4 linked regions of the Daphnia pulex genome follow. The protein of the gene in region 3 interacts with the protein of the main gene of each other region in a biochemical or structural test. Links are inferred from orthologs where the notes say so. Each region holds a gene or a part of one and is shown on either strand. Other genes may lie near its edges.

Region 1 (4,757 bases), on a different chromosome or scaffold from region 3:
TTCTCTCAAACGAAAAAAGAATTTGTATTTATCAAGTATGTCTTAAAGATTATTTGAAAAAAGTTCTGTGGGGTTTCTTTTTCTGTTGACGTTCGATTTCCTCTTGCTGACCAAAATATTGGAATGAAGACTCGTCTGTCCCATCTGCAAGTGGTCGCTTTTTCTGCGACTGTTGTGCAGTTCCTGCTACCCACATTGCATTACGTCGCATCTTGTTACGATAATATTGTTTGAGTTTTTCTCGCTGCTCAAACCACTTATTTCGGTCACGGTACGCTTCTTCCTTTGCTGGCTGGTAGATAAAATCTGTAACCTCTATGAACAGACAAAATGTATGCACTATTATTGAGTTCACAATAGTTGTCAAATCTAACAATAAGTTTTAAATTTATAAAAACCTTTTAAACGGTTGTCTCCAGCGTGGAAAAAAAGTGGTTCCGTCCACATACCGGCATTTTTCCAATAGCCTTGATGCTCAACATTGCTCACTGTTTCTGGCTTAAACAAAAGTTTAGGGTCTTTCTGGGCAAATAGTTTTGGTGGCAAACTAATTGGTTCTTCTTCTGGTTCTACTGCAAGATTGCTCTCCTGAAAGAGGGTTCGTAGAGAGAACTCACTACCTTTGCCAATATCTAGATTACAATGAATTAGTGTAAACATATGCATTATACCAATAAATCATAAATACATTTCATATACCTAGAGCTTCTGTTGTCTGGTAATAACGTTCAGAAGATACTTCTGGTAGAGACTGTTGCTCAAAATCCATCTTGCCTTTTTTAAATGGCTTATCTGTGTTGCTCTTTGTTACTTTCTGAAACTTATTATCATGGCTCGAGAGATTTGAATCAAATTGGATGAATGCTTTGTTTCTAAAAAATATGAAAATTTTTAAAAACAATAATATGAATGGCAATGCTTATTTTTCATACCTGAGCAGGGGTTTTGCTGACTCTGACTGCTGTTCATTGCTAAGAGACAAATCAACCATGGTATCACTTTCTTCAACATGTTCGTCGAAGATAATTTTTTTATTCAATGGCTTTTCAGATATAAACGACATTGTCGATTGTATCACGCTACTAAGCTGCGGTTTTAAGTACTGTACTTCAGTTCGTTGTTAATTATAATATAACGTTTTATTATCATCAATCTTTCCGGAAAATTTGTTGAACTGAACGTCTTAACACGTGAGTCGTGAGAAATTGAAAATAATGATTTTCGTCTGCTAGAATGCAAACAAATGACACGAGTACACCAATGCCACTAACGTTTGGCTTGTCTGTAAATGAATTTTTTGGAATCTAATTTTAGGTAAATTTATTGAGAAGACGGATTTCACTAAAAATAAGAAATTATATTTAAATAAACGTTAAATTTATTGTGGCTTGTCATCCCATGTGGCAACTGTTTCCAGAAAAATCTTCAAGGTTCGTACTACATAGTTCACCACACCCCCACGGAGGGCGAACCAAGCAACGCCAAGCAACGCAACGCCATAATTTTCTATATTATTCGTTCTGAAAGGGAATTCCCAAACATAAACTAATAAAGGGCAAAGCAATTATTGAAACGTGAGTTAACAACCATAATGGTGTAATTGATTATACACTTTATATTTTTAAACTTTCATTATCTGAAGATATATTCGTAAAATTACTTGTCACGAACTTCACCGGCAATGAATCTAAAGAACAATTCCTTTCATCCCCTTGCAAACATTTTTTTCATTTTTATTTGATGCTTCAACATATTTTAAGTAAACTCTTGGAAGTAAATGAAAGTTTATAAATTCAGTAGATGTTTATCTCTTCTATATTATTAGTGCATGTGAAATCTTTTTTGTGTTGAATTTTGTGTTAGTAAAATTTTTTCCGTTGTTTACTTTGTGTCTTAGGCTGTGAAATATGTCATCTGGAGAACCACCTTCTTCGATGATGACTTCACCTGGGCCAGGGCCTGGAACACCTCAGCCATCACCTTTGTCTCATCCTGCTGCATCTCCAGCACCACATTCACATCCAAATTCAAATGCTGGAAATCAACAACAGCAAGTTGCTTCTCCTATGGCACCTCCGCAACCACCTTCTCCAATGAACCATCCTCAACCATCTCCATCACCCATGGGTCCACCAATGCAGCAACACCCTCCCCAGTTTCAACAACAACCTCAGCAGCAAACTTATCCACCACCCATGTCAGGAGCAGTTTCGATGGGGCCTCCTCATCAACCTATGCAGCAACCAATAAGGCAGCATCATGGTGGAGTTCCACAGCCTCATTATATGGGAGCAAGTGGTGGCTATCCTCCAGGTTCACACCACCAACCTCCACAGCAACCAAATTATCCATCACAGCCTGGTGGACCAATGCCTCAACAATCCCAACAGCAACCAGGAGCACCACCTTATCCACCTGACAGTATCAATGCTTTGCAAAGAGCTATATCTACAATGGAAGACCGCGGCTTGCAGAATGATCCTCGCTATGCTACTCTTCTTGCCATGAGAGGAAAACAAGAGGGAATGGCTCCTACTAGCCACAGTCCTGGTCCACCACTTATGGATCCTAACAGGTAACTTGAATTGCGATCAAAATATATCTGAACAATGTGTAACTGATCCATTACCAATATTTAGACAACCTGGTGTGCCATCGCAGTATGGGCCGCCCAATCCAGCGACCCTTAATGGCAATTCTTCTGGACCGGAAGGGGCCAATTCTATGAAATCGTCATTCCTATCACCTACACAAGTCCACCAGCTACGAGCGCAAATTATGGCTTACCGGTTGTTGGCTCGAAACCAACCTGTGCCAACAAATATTGGAATGGCTGCCCAAGGGAAACGGACGGACCTTCCGACACTTCAGTCGCAGCCTAATACTGTATCACAGCTGGATCAACAACAACAGCAAATATATGTTCCGTCTCCGTCTCAGCCTGGACAGTCTTTCCAGAGACCTACAGCTCCTTCGGCTCCTACTCCGATGCAACCTTCTAGCGTACGGCCTATTGGGCCTCCATACTCTTCTCAGCAACCTGTGGCACCATCACCGAGCGGACAGCAGTCTCAGCTACCTTCTATGGGGCCACCACCATCGGCAGGAACTCCAACTCCGGGAACTACTGCAAGTCCAGTTCCTGGTACCATACCGACTCCTCGTCCCCCTCAGCCACAGGTAGATTTTCTAAAATGTCATTTGTTTTAGAATGGTTATAAATGCTACTTGTACTTAAATTGTAGGTCCCTGTACATCCGATGCAACCATCCCAAGGGGCTACTGCCCCTACTGCAATTCAAATGGGTAATGCTGCATTGCAGCCCATCATAGCACCACCAGCTGTGCCCACTTCTAATGCCTCACTCATGCAACAACAACCCGTGATGCCACATTCACAGCAGATACAACCACAGCAACTGCAGCAACAAACACTTGTGTCTAAACAAAACAAAGTTACCCCAATTGCCAAACCAGCAGGATTAGATCCAGTTGTAATTTTGCAGGTATGTGTAATCTATTCGAAGTAATATAACCTTAACATTATATATATTTATTTATTTTAACAGGAAAGAGAAAATCGCATGGCTACGCGCGTTGCCTACCGTATTGAAGAACTTAGTAATCTACCTACTACAATGGGAGAGGATTTGCGAATTAAGGCGCAAATTGAATTACGTGCTCTGCGATTACTTAATTTCCAACGGCAGTTGCGTTCAGAAGTGTTAGCTTGTACGAGAAGAGACACCACGTTAGAAACAGCTGTCAACGTTAAAGCTTATAAGCGGACAAAGAAACAAGGACTACGAGAAGCTCGAGCAACTGAGAAGCTTGAGAAACAACAGAAAATGGAAGCTGAGCGCCGACGCCGTCAGAAGCACCAAGAATATCTTACTGCGGTCCTTCAACACGGCAAAGATCTTAAAGAGTTTCATCGTAACAACCTGGTAAATAATTATACCAGATACTTTGGTGATAAGAAAGCTTATTTTAAAATTTTAACTTTTTAGGCGAAAATTGTGCGCATCAACAAAGCTGTCCTACTACATCATGCTAATGCAGAACGTGAACAGAAGAAGGAACAGGAGCGTATTGAAAAAGAGCGTATGCGTCGCTTGATGGCGGAAGATGAAGAAGGTTACCGTAAGCTTATCGATCAGAAAAAAGACAAACGTCTTGCATTCCTTCTTCAACAAACGGACGAATACATTGCCAATTTGACGGAGATGGTGAAGCTGCATAAAACTGAGCAACGGCGAAAAATGAAAGAGCAGCAGATGATCAAAAGACGTGTGCAGCGGAATGATGATGGAACAGTTGTGGAGGATTTCCATGTGAGCGTTATTGAAACGGCTTCTGGGAACACGCTTACCGGCGAGGAAGCGCCACTTGCTTCAGTTCTCCAAGTAATTATTACTATTCCAAAGAATTTTCATTGTGACGTTTTTGTGATAATTTTATTTTCATTATTAAGACCTGGTTGGAAGCTCATCCTGGCTGGGAAGAATTAATTGAGGATGAAGAGCAACATATTGAAGAAGAACGACCGGAAGAGGCAAAGAAAGCTGTAACCGACGAATCCAAAACTGCCGACGAAGCAACTGTTGTGGTCGTAAAAACGGCGCTAGATGACGAATACAAGACCGATGACGGAGAAAAGAATTACTATTCGATTGCCCATACCGTACACGAAAAAGTTCACGGACAGGCTAGCATTTTGATCAATGGCAAATTGAAAGGTGACTATGCGACATTTG
Region 2 (4,780 bases), on a different chromosome or scaffold from region 3:
CTTTCTTTTGGAATCATCCGTCCCATCACCGCTGCATCTCTGTCTCCGCACCGGTGGATTTATGGGTCCTTATTATTTACTGAATAATGCAATGCGCCGCTGTCAGGATGTGAGTCGGAGACATCACGAATCACGATCTACGTTCCACCACAGAATCGAATTGACGGCCGTTGTTCTTCCGTGTCATCTGTAGATAAATTAGAACTAGAATATTTTTTCACCGGCTACAGAGAACGAATTTTGATGAATTCTCTCTAAACACTCACGCAACACGACGGAACTCCACTGTGTAATTCAATCAACAAGCTATCTAATGAAAAGCGCAAATAAAGATACTTGGCGAATCAGATCAATTTATCAGTTTCCTACTACAACAATTTCTTCATCGAAGGAATATTGAACCGATCCCATGACCCCAATACTTATCGATTACTCAACAGTCCCTTGATAGTTTATAGTTTATTTGTTTTGAATGGGTCGGGCGTTCGAGCACAGTAGAAAAACCAGACTGATATTAATGCATCAATTACTACGAGTTTAGTAAAAATGTGTTCACCCATGGCATCATATGACTATTCTAAAATTATCAGATAGATCAGATGAGCCCTGCACTGCCTAAAATTTCCTTCTTAAATTTAAGCGAATTTAAGTTAAGGAAAAAGCGCTACCTAGATTTGGGACACACGGTAAAAATTGAAAAGCATAAACACAAAAACAAACAAACAAAAAAATTTAAAAAAAATAAAAATCGAGAGGTCTGAATCTCTTTACTTGCGTGGGTGGCAAACAATAGTAATGATGAAGTATTATTTTAAGACACCATGTATTTAGACCCAAATTAGGATTCACGATACTCGAAGAAAGTTAAAAGTTTCCTTGTTATTTTACCAGTCTGCAAATGCACGATAAGTAACTCGGGATTTTTCTTTTAATCTGCTGTCACTTGGTCACAGTTGGCTTACATAAACGATGTCCAACCAAAAGTTGTTTTCCTTAGTAGTAACATTCTAATTGTTACGAATGCCTAATGCCTGTTCCAATTCGGCACGCTTTTGTTGAACTTTGCTGTAAAAATATCGGCAAACGGCTTCTTGGGTCCAGCTTTGCTCGTAAAACTCTCCACGTCGCTCCTCTTCGGGATTTCCTACGATGTCAGTCATAGTCTGAAAACAAAAAACAAAACAAAAACACATCGTTTAAATTTATCCAACACATTTTTGTAAATTTTTTTATTTAGCTTTTTACCTTCAAATCCCTTGTTTGAGATAAGAGCCATTTGTTTATGAATTGCTGCGGATCTCGGGCAAATCCAAGGAAAAATTCTCGACTGATCTTCAGTTGATTAATGCTTTCAACCGTTTCGTGGATCTTGTTGTCTAAGCTCTACATCCACAAATTAAAAATTAGATATATCTTAACATGCCAAAGTAATTGACAGGAAGAAAAAAAAAACCTGAATTTCTTGCTGGCTTGCAGTAGAAAGCAAAAAATTATTCATCTGGGCTTTCAATGTATCATCAACTTCTACATCAATGTCATAGCAGGCAGTTTTTTTCTGATCTGCACTCTCCACACTGCTGTTGAAAGAAAAAAGTTATAAAATTAATATAAAATGGAAAATGGTCTCTTCTTTAATTTCTAAGTACCTTATCAAATGGTTGATAACAATTGGATCAGGGGGATGTAAGAGAGGATTCAATCTTTGTGGAATTTCAGCAAATTTCATTCTAGGACATCCAAATATTTGTTCCATATATTTGTCACAACGAATGAATTCTCTTTCTTGGTGATCCTAAGGTAGTAAGGAAGTAGAAAAAAAATTAGATTATTCTTGACACATGGCTTGTAACAGCTATGAATAATACCTGAAGTTTGTGAGTTTTAATGTACTGCCACAATGCAGAGATTACCATGGGTCTTGTTTGAGTGTGAATGCCAAGAAGACGAGCCAAACGCGAGTCGAGACGAAATTGCAGCGGTTGATAGTCGAGCAAAAGTAAGATGGTACACCGTACATTTCGATCTCCTGGTCGTTTTACTTGAAACCCATCCGTTTCTTGAGTAGTAGACGTTCGATGCCATTCCACAAGGTGGTTATCAGGCCCATACAAGTCTTTATCAAGCTCAATGACGAGAGATTTGAAAAACGAAGAAAACTTCCGTTTGACTTTATTGGGATCTGATTTGGCAGCATCATCCAGAAGTCGTCCTTCTACTCTCAGTTCCCAAGAAGCAACCCCGCTTCCTCCGCCAACATCTTCAGTATTATCCATTTCTCTAGCAGGGTAGAATGTGTTTGAGATGAAAATACGCAATTTTCGTTTTTGTTTCATGGGTCTTTTCAAAGCTTCCTGAAACGAAAGTATTAAAAGTATTACTGACACGTGTAAAAGAAATCTTTACTTCAACTTACTTGAATATCGAGACGTTTTCTCATAATAGTAGCATCCAATTTTCTTTCAAATGCCAATAAATCCATGTAAGCTTGAGATTCAGGAACCAAATCTCGAACTTTCTGTGGAAGAATCTTGTCTGCAAGCTTTTTCTTTTTCTTTGCACTGTTAGGGCCATATTCACTACATATAAACCATTAATACTTGGATGTTAAGGACACAAAGAAATAATCTGATTTCTTACAGTTTTCCTGTTTGATTAGGGGCTCTCATGTCACCAGGTCTCTTCCCTGGTCCCAAAGCTTGGGGGCTCATTCCGGGACCACCAGGCCTTACAGGCTGTCCACTATAGGAATTTGGAGGTGTTGGATTCCCAATCATGTTTGGTCTTTGACCCATCATTGTAGGACTTGCTGAAGAAGTAGAGTTTGGAGGGTTTTGAATTTGATTGAATGCCGGGCGCTATGATAAAATGAAAGTTGAATGACATCAAGGTTTGGTACTGTAAAATTGAAGACAACAGAAACTATACTTACAGGGTAATTTGGAGAGTTGAACCGCATAGAACTCCCCGGAGAAGGAAAGGGAGGTCTTCCTGTAGCTGCGTTCGTATTTTGCATTTTATAAAACCGTCAAAACGGCGATCGACACAATACACACCAAAAATTAAGATATACTTTTTCTTCGATTATTTACTTATTTAATTCTTAGTGTTCTTTTGCTTTTTTACGGATGAGATGAACGGTCGAACCTGCCGTTTGAAGCTTTGATTCGCCATCTGTTGACCGCGTCTATAAACCTCCCTCAACACCACGTAGCGGCCAAAAAGCATACAATTCAAGGTTTTTTTGTTTCTATAAAATGTACAAAAATTCAGCTTGGAATCTCTTGGAATGTTCAGAGGGTGCGGGTTGCGCGAACGAACTTGATATTATTTATTTTCCATTCCCATTATTCATTAATTTTCAGACCTAATTTCTTATTTTACGGTAGTGCACTCAGATAATATTCGATTATTTGCAAAAATACAAAATAGTAAGTAATTTTTCAATACTTGGACCAATTAAAAATCTAAGACTTAAAAGTTAGGACCAAAAGCAATCGTGGCAGTTAACAAAAACATTTTTATCGTCACAAAATATATTGCAACAGAGATAGATAGCTTGAACCGTCTTGACACTACACCCGTGGCCCCGTGCTACATCTTTCGCCTTGTCTTTCGCGTTAGTAAATTGAACCTAATTTTTACATAACACTTCAAATTTATATTGCGTATTGATACTGAACAAAAATGAAATCACCGTTTCGTGTATCCTCAAATGAACATCTTATAAGTAAATTTAACATTCTCTGAAACACGTGTTTATAATTTATATAATAAGTCAGCAGAAACCGCAAAATTAGTTGCAATAAAAAACAATACAGCAAGTTTGTATTATAATTCTGATCGATTTTTCGCTGAAGACAAGACAAGAGCATTCATTCTTTTTTAACATTTCATGGTTGAGTCATTGAGGGCAAACCGGTGATTCGGGGATCTACCATTCCATTAGTAGTTTCCAAATTTTTTAGAAGTTGCGCCATCCACTGTTTAGTTGACTTATCATCTTTAAGACATGTTGAGAAAGTGCTATCACGCAACTGATCAGGTAGGCATTGTCGCAACGCTTCACGAGCCCTAGAAAATATAGTCGAATTTTATATCAATACGAAAATTCCTTTTTGGTTTTTGCAAGTCCCTTACCTTGGATTGTCAGAAAGACGAAGATAACATCGGACAACGTGCTTCAAAAGACGAGCTGACTGTTCTTTGGCCAATGATAAAACCATTTTACCAAGTATCATTGCAACATGAGAAAAGCGCTCATAAGTTTGACAAATGTAAGCCAGACCAGTTTCATCCAAGAGAATTTTTTGAAGTATGAAAGTTGCAACAGTCTTGGACAGTTCAGATCCAGTTTCCATTATCCTCAAACACAATGGAATTATCTCTGTTGTAAGAAGAAAGTTGATAACCTCCTGTTCATCAGTTTTAACTAGAGCACCAATGACTCCCAAACTGGTCAAACGAAGATATTCAAATGGCCGTGTCTTGCTCACAGTGTGCAAAAAAGGGTAGAGGAATAATGGGATGTGAGCTTGCAGAAAAGCAGATCTGGTTTCTTGGTGTGAAGCAACACATTGCAGAAGAGCAAGAGCATTGCAAACTCTGTTGGACTGTTGAGCAGTAAGAGTAGGTGGACTTACTGCTGGATAAATGCTTACAATATCTTGCAATAGAGCTGCTATAGTTCCAAATGAATGCCACAGCATAGGAGCCAAATCAGGAACAACTTCTCTCTTTTTACTGCATGGAAGAAATGAAAAATTAATAAAAAGCTAGTGGA
Region 3 (4,864 bases):
CCGCTCTCCCGGTACTGGTAATGTCCCATCCGATAATGAGTCTCGAATTGTGTAACCCATTAAAGCTATCTCTGTAAAAGAAAATCTCATGATTAAAAGGGCTTTTGTTTGTTTGAATAACTGAACAATCAAATAATACCAGGTCCAAAAATGAGGTTATTGTTAAATTTTGCAGTAATCCTATCAATGAGGCGTTGATCCTTATAGTCAATTGGTAAGCGCGTTTCTTCTTGAATCAGTTGCATTAAATCACTGACACTTTGATGCGGAAGCTTGTTGATATTAAAAGTCCAGGAGGTAGATCCTGTTCCAGTCGATACACACAGTCCTGAACTTTTGACTTTAGTACGCTCACTTCCATCCACTGCAAGCTCATAGTAAGACACTCGAGCGGAGAGAGCTTCGCCTATAAATACCTGTACAAGTAAAACGAAAATTTAAAGTTAGTTTTGATTTGATTGAAATAGTGTTTTCAAATTTTATACTGTACTTCGTTGAGAGCTTTCACAGGCAAAATTCGTTTGTTCTTTATGCTTTCTTCTGACTTAGGGACCTCGTCACGGTACTCGGAAATCTCTAAAAATCGGTTTTCTAATTGATTAAGCTGCTGATCATGCAGCTCAACAGGTACATCATAAATTTTATCGCCAATGAGTGTCACGCGGATACGCTTGCGAAAAAGCCAACGGAACTTTCCCTATGAACAACAAAATTTACTATTTGTTTGGAAGAGATAAAAAGGACGAGGAATTAACCTGAAGTAGCTTGTCAATGGCATTCTTGATGTTATTAGAGTATTTCTTCGGGAGGCAGAGGTAGCCTTCGGATCTTGTAGGATCGCTATTAAAACCAATTATCGTCTTCGTAGGATCGTGGATTTTACTTGCACCAAGTAAAAATGTACCATCTCCTCCAGCAGTAAAGATAACATCAGCCCAGTTAATGTTACTTTCATTGTAATCAAAGCGAGTCACAACTTTTGTTTCAATGTTCTTTTGCTCCAAGATACTCTTCACCATGGCTTCACAGTTTTTATGGAGAGTATGATGGTAGAGTAACATATCTAAAGAGAATAAACACTATAAGTATGTATTAAATTAACAACTAAAGTAAAGAAAGAATTACTGTAATCAGATCCTCGCTTTCGTAAGGCGTGCTCCAATTGATTTTCATCAAGATTCTTGTGCCTGAGCTTCTCAAATTCATAGCGAGATAGTTTTGTCAATACCAAGGCTTTTTTTGGAGAAAATGTGGATGCCTCTGATGGGCTCCAACTTCCTACTGAGTTTCTTGACTGGAAAAATTAATAAAAAATGTAGGTTTAAAAAAATTTTCAGAATGAAGTTGGTGTATCCCTACTAGTTTTCTGTACAGCTGTAAATTTCCTATGAAGGATAAGCTCCTTGTCGGCGAACCTTGAGATGCGATTTTTCTCAGAAACATAGCAGCACAACCGTATGGGTCACCGGAAAAATGGTCAGTAAGAGAAAGAAAAATACGTGTCAATCAGTCACGTTATATTTCTATAATATTATCTCTGCCATATTATCAGTTCACCAATAATCTGTTACGTGATTTCAAAACATTGGTTTGGGAACCATCGTACGCAGAAAAACTGAAATAGCCTAGCAGACAAAAAATTATTTCAACTTCCTAACGATAGATGGCTCTGTATAAATAGTGACGGCGTTTGAAACTAAACGACTTCCCTCCCTTGAATGTGAAAGAAGACGCATCAAAAGCATCATCAAAGATGGCTTTCGCACCGAAAAAAGACGGAGGACCAAATTTAAAATTCTACGAGTCTCACGAAACTTTGTTGCTTTTCGAAGGAGTAAAAGCATGGCTTTCAAAAAATTGCAAAAAGGTAAATATTCACCGGCAGCAATCACCGTTTGTCATGTTAATTCTTCGCTGTCATTTGACCGGTTCATTCCCTCTTGTTTCAGTATGTTCAAACAGACCCTCCAACAGCCAAAAGTCTTTCAACTTCCATTACTCAAGTTATCCAGTTTCAAGAAGATACTTATGGCAAAAATGTGGCTAAACCACCTTTGACAAGGATTCCTACAAAATGCTTCCTAGACTTCAGGCCTAATGGCGGCATCTGCCAGATTTTGGCTACTGTTTACAAGTATGTAACTCTTTATTTGTAGCATGCTTCAGTGTTATTGACATTTTTCATATTGATCTTTATAATAGGTATCGTACTGACCATGGATGGAGGCGCATGGATTTTGCTTCTCCTTCCAGAATGGAACGCCACATTGAAATGATGGTTGCGATAGAGAAAGCACTGATTCAAGCCAAATGTCTTGTTCAGCCTAATATTTACATCATGCCAGATGTTGATAAAGGACTTGTCGGTAAGTGCTGTTGTCATATAATAATGCAGTGTTAACAGTTTCATGACCTTTGAATGTCTCACTAGGTAAACTGAAAGAAATTGTCAAAAGGCATCAAGGGTTAATCGCAGAGACTGAAGCTGAAGCAACACATCTTGTTCATTCGGCTGCTGATCCACTCGAAGAAGAGTACGCCCGTCCACTGTTTCGTCGCGATCGCAACACTTTGCTTCATTGGTATACCTCAGTTAAAGCAACAGTTCTGAACCCATGAATATACAACGTGTCATGTCTTAGGTATTACTTCCCAGACTCGTACGACAAGTGGGATACGATCGAATTACCTGTCGATCCTCCAGAGCTCTCAGACTATCTCGAATCTTTGAATGAACCTCACAAAACCTACCGAGTTGCCGCCAACTGGTTGCTGGATTTAGATCAATACAACGAGTGGATGAATGAAGAGGATTACGAAGTCGATGCTAGTGGAAAGAAAAAAGTGCACAAGCTTCGATTGTCCGTTGAGGATTTGATGAGTGGCGGTGACAGTAAACAAAAAGGGAAAACTCCTTCCACTTTGAAACGGAGAAGGTCTCCTTCACCGGCTGGCAGTGGATCGACTAAAGCCGCTGCAACTCCCACAACTGCTGGTGGTGCTGGAAACAAGCGCAAGAGTGTCCGTCCTGCCTTGGGCAAAAAATTCAAAGGTGGCGAAGAGGACAGCGACGATCTTACACGAGACATGGACGATCCTCCCTCAGACACTAATCTCCGCGAAGTCGAAGTGCCAAAGACTCATCCCGTTCCGGGCGGACCTCCTCCAACGGCTATTAAGAAAGATGCCGATTGGATGCCCACTAAAGGTATTATAGATTATTTATTCTTTTGTTAATTGTAGTGTCATTGTTGTATTTTTGATTGAAATTAGGAGCTGCATTGACTGATTTAGATGAAGAAGGTGAAAAGTTGGCAGATATCACATTAGTCACACCACAAGACGATCCGCACGGGCAGCAGGTACTGCTACAACAGGTTATTATTTGGTCGGAAATTTCCAGAACTGTTTCGAGTAACCAGCCGTGTTATTTATTCACCTCCCCCATTTTAGCATGACGATAATGTCACCGACCAAACTCACCACATCATCATTCCCAGCTACGCTGCCTGGTTTGATTACAATTCGATTCACTCGATCGAACGTCGCGCCTTGCCCGAATTTTTCAATGGCAAAAACCGTTCAAAGACTCCAGAGGTAAAATGAAATTTTGGTTTTTCTTTTGTTCAAGTCATACCCATTTGGTCTTTTATTTTCAGGTTTATTTGGCGTATCGTAATTTTATGATCGACACCTATCGCTTGAATCCTACCGAATATTTGACCAGCACTGCGTGTCGACGCAATTTGGCCGGTGACGTTTGCGCCATTATGCGCGTTCACGCCTTTTTGGAGCAGTGGGGACTCGTCAATTACCAGGTGGATGGGGATTCACGCCCGATGCCTGTCGGCCCACCACCCACATCGCACTTTCACATCCTCTCTGACACGCCGTCAGGTCTGCAGCCCGTCAATCCTCCTCGGACAACGCAGCCATCAGCGGCCAAGACTCTGATCGACATGGATAAGAAGACGGCAGCTCGCCAATCCGAAACAGCTCCCGTGGCCAATAATTTCGGCCTGAAACTGGACCAATACAGCCGTAAGAGCTCGTCCGTGTTGAAGAACAAGGCAACCAGAGAGTGGACGGAACAGGAGACGCTGCTCCTGCTCGAGGGTTTGGAACTGTACAAGGACGATTGGAACAAAGTCTGCGAACACGTTGGAACTCGCACCCAGGATGAATGTATTCTCCACTTTCTTCGCCTTCCTATCGAGGATCCATTTTTTGAAGACGTTGAATTGGGTGGCGGCGGAGCTGTTGGACCTTTGGCCTATCAGCCCATTCCGTTCAGCCAGGCCGGCAACCCCATCATGTCGACGGTGGCGTTTTTGGCATCAGTTGTGGATCCACGAGTTGCTGCCGCTGCTGCCAAAGCTGCGATGGAAGAATTCGCCAAGATCAAGGACGAAGTTCCATCGGCCCTGCTGGAAACGCACTTGAAGAACGTCGAAAATGCTCTGAGCGAAGGCAAATCGGACGCCTCGGTGGCCGCTTTGGCCCAATCTGGAATTGCTGGAACAGTTCAAGACAAGGAGGAGGCCGAGAGGGAGAAGGAGAAAGCGGACAAATTGGCCGAAGAGAAGGAAGCCTTGGAGAAGAGCGAAGAGAAGAAGGAGGCTGATAAAAAGGTGGAAGAAAAGAAAGAAGCAGAGAAGAAGGAAGGTGAGAAAGAGGAGTCGACTAGCGCTGAAGGCAGCAAGGAGCCAGAGAAAGAAAAGACGGCCACTGAAAGTGAGGAAGACAAAGCTGAGAAGATGGACGTGGACAACGCGACCGTCAAAGACGCCAAGGAAGACGGTGAAGGAGCCAAAGAATCGGCTGCAAAGGAATCTGAAACTAAGGAGCCCGAAATCAAGGAGGA
Region 4 (5,058 bases), about 7.3 Mb from region 3:
GACCCGAAGGAGAATCATTTTACGGCAGCAGCCAATACGAACTTATTCCTGGTCCACCTGGAAATCCTGGCGAGAGAGGGCCGGACGGGCCAAAAGGTGACGATGGAATTGCAGGTGCTCCTGGTGCTCCTGGAGGACCCGGTCCAAAAGGAAAATTGGGCAACCCAGGCGCTCCTGGAACCAAAGGAGAGAGGGGTGATCCAGGTAATACGGGAGCTGCTGGCGATCCTGGAGCCCCAGGAATGAAGGGCGAGAGCGGAGATCCTGGATTTAATGGCGAACCTGGCCTAGCTGGAGCACCTGGAAATCCAGGAAAAGACGGATTCCCAGGGGAATCAGGAGTCCAGGGACCGAAAGGTGACATTGGAGCGCCAGGATTGACTCTTCCATCCAAGGTCGCAGGACCCCCCGGTTTATCTGGAATGCCCGGGAAAGATGGAGCTCCAGGCAATACTGGCCCAGTTGGATCAATCGGTCCACAAGGACCAATTGGATTGGAAGGTAATCCAGGCAAACCTGGTTTGAATGGTGTTCCCGGTGGGCCTGGACCAAAGGGCGACAACGGATTCAATGGCAATCCTGGAGCACCTGGTAAAGACGGTTTGCCCGGTGGACCTAGCGACGTTGTTGGACCCATTGGGCCAGAAGGAGAACGTGGAACGCCAGGAGACCCCGGGTCACCTGGCAAAGAGGGCCTCACTGGCGCACCTGGTGAGCCTGGAAAAGACGGATCGCCCGGCGCTCCTGGTCAAACAGGTATACAATTTTGTTTCTTAATTAACTGCTCGTTTTAATGACTTGATTGCATCAAACAAATGAATATTGGACTTATTATAGGCGCTCCAGGTGAGGAAGGCAAATCAGGCAAGGATGGTGAACCTGGTCCGACGGGAACACCCGGCAATCCTGGTGGAATAGGTCCGAAAGGTCCAAAAGGTAAACCTGGCCCTAATGGCTCTCCTGGTCTTCCTGGAGATATTGGACCCATTGGTCCTGTCGGTCCAGAAGGCAAACCAGGTAATGAGGGAGCTCCTGGTTATCCTGGAAAACCTGGACCAGCTGGCGGAGTTGGTCCTCAAGGAAAAAAAGGTGATAATGGCTACCCTGGAAAAACCGGAGCAGTTGGGCCTGTCGGGCCTCGCGGAAAACCAGGCACAGCCAGCAGCTATGGTTCAGGAAGACCCTATGGTAGACCCAGCTCTAGACCCAGCTCTTCGTTCTCTGACTTCTTTGGATCTTTCTGGTCCGACGAACCTCAAAGTAATAAGCCGGCCAGCTCGTCATTCTACCCAAGTGGGCCTGCTTCAGAATATTCAGGACAGTCTTACCAAAACAATAATCTACCACCTGCATATCCAGGCTACGTACGAGTAGTGTGGTGATTATTCTCATCAATCACACCAGCCCCCATTCCAAGCATAATCAGCATGAAACATTTTTTGTTTCCTATTTATCTTTCTAATAATTAATTACAAAATTATAGTAAAAAGAAAATTTACCTTACATTGAAACAAGCCAATGTAATATACGGAATCTGTGGATATTTACTATTTCGTGACTGTAAACTAAGAAAAATAAACTCCAAAAGGGAAATGATTAATAAACAATACACATATGTTAAATTGAAAGTTTAAATTTATCTGAATCTCAGAAGTCTAATTCGTATTTTTCAAAAGAAAATTTCTCGTAATTGAAAACTAGCCATCTCCCGCCCAATATATACAACAGAGTGAGAAGAGGCTTCAAAAATGTGACAGACCACTACTACCTACTGAGTAACGACGCTTTGGTTTGTTGTTTTCAATCGAGGGAAATCTATTAGTTGGTACTTTTTTGTGCTCCGTTTTACAAAGGAAAATTACTCAGATTGGTCGGAATTCACAACGCGGATAAGTTTCGGATAATACTAAAATGGCGCTGCCACAGAATTATCGCCAAAACGCCATGGCCTCACCAGCTCCGATTCCAAGTACCGGTTCATCTCGTATGTTCTATCGATGTTCCTAAGTTTGATTCAGTTGCGTGCACCACGTTATTTTTAGTTTTCTTTTCTAGATTCATTTTTGTTGTTGTTTGTTTACTTTTTTATTTGCACCCGACTTTTATTTCGTTAGACTTAGATGTTGGCTTGTTATGTAGTTCCTTAGTTTTTTTTTCACGTTTTCTCTAATGCTTCAGATGCCATGAATCACAACCATGGAATGCCTGTATCATTTAACATTCTAAAAGGTACCCTTTTGTGTTGACCCGAAAAAAATTATTATTTATTTCCTTCGAGCTGCACCAATGTTCTTGTATAACTAACGTTTTCTATGTCTGATGCAGAACGGTTAAGGGCATCTGGCTCCCAGGGAATGTCGGTAAGTGGTCCATAGTCTAAGGGGGAAAAAATTATTTGTAGCTAATGCACCAATACTTTTAAAAATTCTAGAAAGATGCGAGCAACCAGAATCCTTTTGTCATGAATCCTCATGGACATCCCCAGTTCAACCCCCAAAAACTTGGGACCAAATTCGCAGTGGTACTCGATTCACCATTTTCATCATAACCGATATCTTTACTGAACCCTTCTTTGCTTGTTTAGAGTGGCAGCAACACCTTGAAACCGCCTAAAGCACCTGAGAAACCATTGATGCCCTACATGAGATATTCTCGTAAAGTTTGGGATGAAGTCAAGGCAGCCAATCAAGAGCTGAAGCTCTGGGAGATTGGTAAAATCATTGGCCAAATGTGGCGAGATCTGCCCGACGGCGACAAGCAAGAATTTGTCGAAGAGTACGAAACGGAAAAGGTCGAATACGAACGCACTCTAAAAGCCTACCACAATTCCCCAGCTTATCAGGTAATTCATTCTAGCAAAATTAAAACTAAAATGTTTGAAACTATCATCACAATTCGTTTAGGCATACATCACTGCCAAGAGCAAAGCTCAACAGGGAGCAGATGAGAAGGAATCTGCCAGCGAACGAGGCATGTCGGCCAAAGCAGCTTTCAACGACAGGTTTGACTTTTAATCTTTATGCTATTCCAAAATTGACATGACTAAAATTTTACTTATTTAAAAAAATATAGACGCATTGAAATCCAACCGGCAGAGGATGAAGAAGACATTGACGACGGCATGTCAGTCAAGCACGTGGCCCACGCCCGCTACGTCCGAAATCACCGATTAGTGCACGAAATCTTCTCGGACGTGGTGGTGCCGGACGTTCGTTCGGTCGTCACCACAGCTCGCATGCAGGTGCTCAAGAGACAGGTGCACTCGTTGACGATGCACCAGAAAAAGTTGGAGACGGAATTGCAGCAGATCGAAGAGAAATTCGATTCCAAGAAGCGCAAATTTGTCGAATCGAGTTCCGTCTTCCAGGACGATCTGGTGCGCACGTGTCGCAAGCCCATCGACGAAGAGACTTTCCAGTCCATGGTCGAACAGCAGACGGAAATCATCAAGAAGGAACGTGAGAGGGAAAGAGAACGTCAAGCCGAACTGATGCGCGAAGTATTTTCATCAATTATAAACTCAAAATGTTGTAGATTTTTAATTTGGAATTTTTTAATTTGATAGCGTGAAGCTGCTGCTGCTGTCGCTGCTTTGCAGGCTGAAAAGGAAGCAGCTATTGCCGCGGCCGCTGCGGCGGCAGCTGCTGCTGCCGCTCCACCTCCGTCTGCTCCGGTGGAACCGATGGAAACGGAAGACTCGGTCGTCGTGAAAGAAGAGCCCAAGAAGGAAGTGGTGGCTCCAGTGGCTGCTCCTTTGACAGCCAAGACGGAAGAACCCGTTGTCACTCCGGTAGTGAGCCAGGAGCCGTCGTCACTTGCTCCTGTCCCGATGGAAACGGAAGAAACGAAGCCCACCGTCCCTGAGACTTTCAAAGTCGAAGAAATTAGACGTGAAGAGCCATTAGCTGCCGTTAATGTTCCTCCGCCAACCCCTGCGATTGAAACTCCACCAGTTCAAACTGCTCCTTCAGTTGAAGTCGCTCCTACGACTACAGTTGAGCCAATTCCCATTGCTCCTCCTGTAATTGAATCTGCTCCAGTGGCCGAGGCTGCTCCTATTATCCAAGCAACTCCGGTTGTCGAAACGACCTCAGTCATCCAACCGACTGTCGCAGCTGCTCCAGTTGTCGAGGCCCTTCCAGTTGTTGCACCAATGCCAGCCGAATCCTATGTGACCCACAATCCTGTGACTGAAGCTCCTCCAGCGATTGTATCTGAATCTTTGCCTGTCGCTCCGGTGGTAGAAACCCCTCGCCAACCAACTCCTCCTGTACCATCGACTGAACAGGCACCTCATCATTCGTTCGAAGCCCAGCCACCACCGGCTCCAGAGACCCCCTCAGTTGAAAACGTCACTGCTGAGCAACCTCCTGCAGTTGCAGCCGAAATTCCAGCACCCGCCGAACCATCTCCATCCGTTGAAACCCCTTCGATCGCAGCTGAGCAACCAGTCAGTGCTCCTAGCGAACCTGCAGTCGAAGAACCGTCTGTCAAACCAGAATTGGTGGCAGAGAAGAAAGAAGACGAGGTGCCCACCATCTCAGAGCCTACTCCCCCGGAAGAACTACCCGTGCCACCAGCAACGACAACCGCACAACCAGAGGAAGAGAAGCCACATCCTGAAGTTGGTCAGACTCCAGATCCCCAAGCGCTTCCTCCCAGTACTACTGAAGCTTGATTTTTTCTAAATGAACGCCACAATTTAAAACTAAACTTCATTTTTACCCCCCGCGATCTTGAGATATTGTTAGCATCCTGCGCATGGAGTCCAAAATAAACAATACACTTTGGAACAAGATTGCAAAATCGAAAAGAACAATATTTCTATTCAGTAATTCATGATAGTATTTACACACTTTTTAATTAAGGATTTCATGATTGCAATAAATCAAATCAACATATGAGTTGGATATTTAAAAAAAGGGGGAATGTCTTCTAACGTCTCGATAGGAAATATTCACGATGAGACTTACAAATGAAACAAAATTAAATCTACAACAAACAATAATTTATCAGGCGTAACCAGCAAGTTTCTGTTCATTCCAGACACTTCGAAGT

Evidence for each region.
Region 1: the proteins of SWI/SNF complex subunit SMARCC2-like (region 3) and ATP-dependent helicase brm-like form a complex in vitro, tested with the Drosophila melanogaster proteins (2 studies listed by BioGRID, with this or other methods). The link is inferred for Daphnia pulex from reciprocal best matches to the Drosophila melanogaster genes mor and brm.
Region 2: the proteins of SWI/SNF complex subunit SMARCC2-like (region 3) and brahma-associated protein of 60 kDa-like form a complex in vitro, tested with the Drosophila melanogaster proteins (2 studies listed by BioGRID, with this or other methods). The link is inferred for Daphnia pulex from reciprocal best matches to the Drosophila melanogaster genes mor and Bap60.
Region 4: the proteins of SWI/SNF complex subunit SMARCC2-like (region 3) and calphotin-like form a complex in vitro, tested with the Drosophila melanogaster proteins (2 studies listed by BioGRID, with this or other methods). The link is inferred for Daphnia pulex from reciprocal best matches to the Drosophila melanogaster genes mor and Bap111.

Annotation. Positions count from the first base shown.
Region 1 is NC_060018.1:7,736,768-7,741,524, reverse strand, and holds the start of ATP-dependent helicase brm-like, read left to right. Parts: upstream 1-1,418; 5' UTR 1,419-1,574; intron 1,575-1,897; 5' UTR 1,898-1,907; coding exon 1,908-2,575; intron 2,576-2,639; coding exon 2,640-3,180; intron 3,181-3,245; coding exon 3,246-3,506; intron 3,507-3,569; coding exon 3,570-3,947; intron 3,948-4,010; coding exon 4,011-4,406; intron 4,407-4,474; coding exon 4,475-4,739; intron 4,740-4,757. Other genes in the region: uncharacterized protein LOC124205796, read right to left, coding at 50-315, 399-632, 700-872, 933-1,063. UniProt on the Drosophila melanogaster protein: Transcriptional regulator. Acts as a coactivator, assisting one or more dedicated transcriptional activators of ANTC and BXC homeotic gene clusters. Can counteract the repressive effect of Polycomb protein.
Region 2 is NC_060018.1:7,203,620-7,208,399, reverse strand, and holds brahma-associated protein of 60 kDa-like, read right to left. Parts: upstream 3,193-4,780; 5' UTR 3,014-3,192; coding exon 2,930-3,013; intron 2,856-2,929; coding exon 2,638-2,855; intron 2,577-2,637; coding exon 2,414-2,576; intron 2,352-2,413; coding exon 1,866-2,351; intron 1,793-1,865; coding exon 1,647-1,792; intron 1,578-1,646; coding exon 1,454-1,577; intron 1,384-1,453; coding exon 1,246-1,383; intron 1,164-1,245; coding exon 1,008-1,163; 3' UTR 807-1,007; downstream 1-806. Other genes in the region: CCR4-NOT transcription complex subunit 9-like, read right to left, coding at 3,891-4,071, 4,138-4,740. UniProt on the Drosophila melanogaster protein: Involved in the recruitment and site-specific anchoring of the Brahma complex at specific promoter sites.
Region 3 is NC_060024.1:13,930,376-13,935,239, forward strand, and holds the start of SWI/SNF complex subunit SMARCC2-like, read left to right. Parts: upstream 1-1,753; coding exon 1,754-1,867; intron 1,868-1,949; coding exon 1,950-2,134; intron 2,135-2,202; coding exon 2,203-2,366; intron 2,367-2,431; coding exon 2,432-2,582; intron 2,583-2,642; coding exon 2,643-3,208; intron 3,209-3,273; coding exon 3,274-3,362; intron 3,363-3,453; coding exon 3,454-3,597; intron 3,598-3,659; coding exon 3,660-4,864. Other genes in the region: NAD kinase 2, mitochondrial-like, read right to left, coding at 1-71, 140-416, 491-697, 756-1,063, 1,126-1,294, 1,360-1,443.
Region 4 is NC_060024.1:6,635,798-6,640,855, forward strand, and holds calphotin-like, read left to right. Parts: upstream 1-1,750; 5' UTR 1,751-1,911; coding exon 1,912-1,984; intron 1,985-2,178; coding exon 2,179-2,229; intron 2,230-2,325; coding exon 2,326-2,360; intron 2,361-2,431; coding exon 2,432-2,521; intron 2,522-2,584; coding exon 2,585-2,842; intron 2,843-2,903; coding exon 2,904-3,001; intron 3,002-3,072; coding exon 3,073-3,499; intron 3,500-3,565; coding exon 3,566-4,678; 3' UTR 4,679-4,798; downstream 4,799-5,058. Other genes in the region: collagen alpha-1(I) chain-like, read left to right, coding at 1-756, 838-1,382; beta-1,3-galactosyltransferase brn-like, read right to left, coding at 5,013-5,058.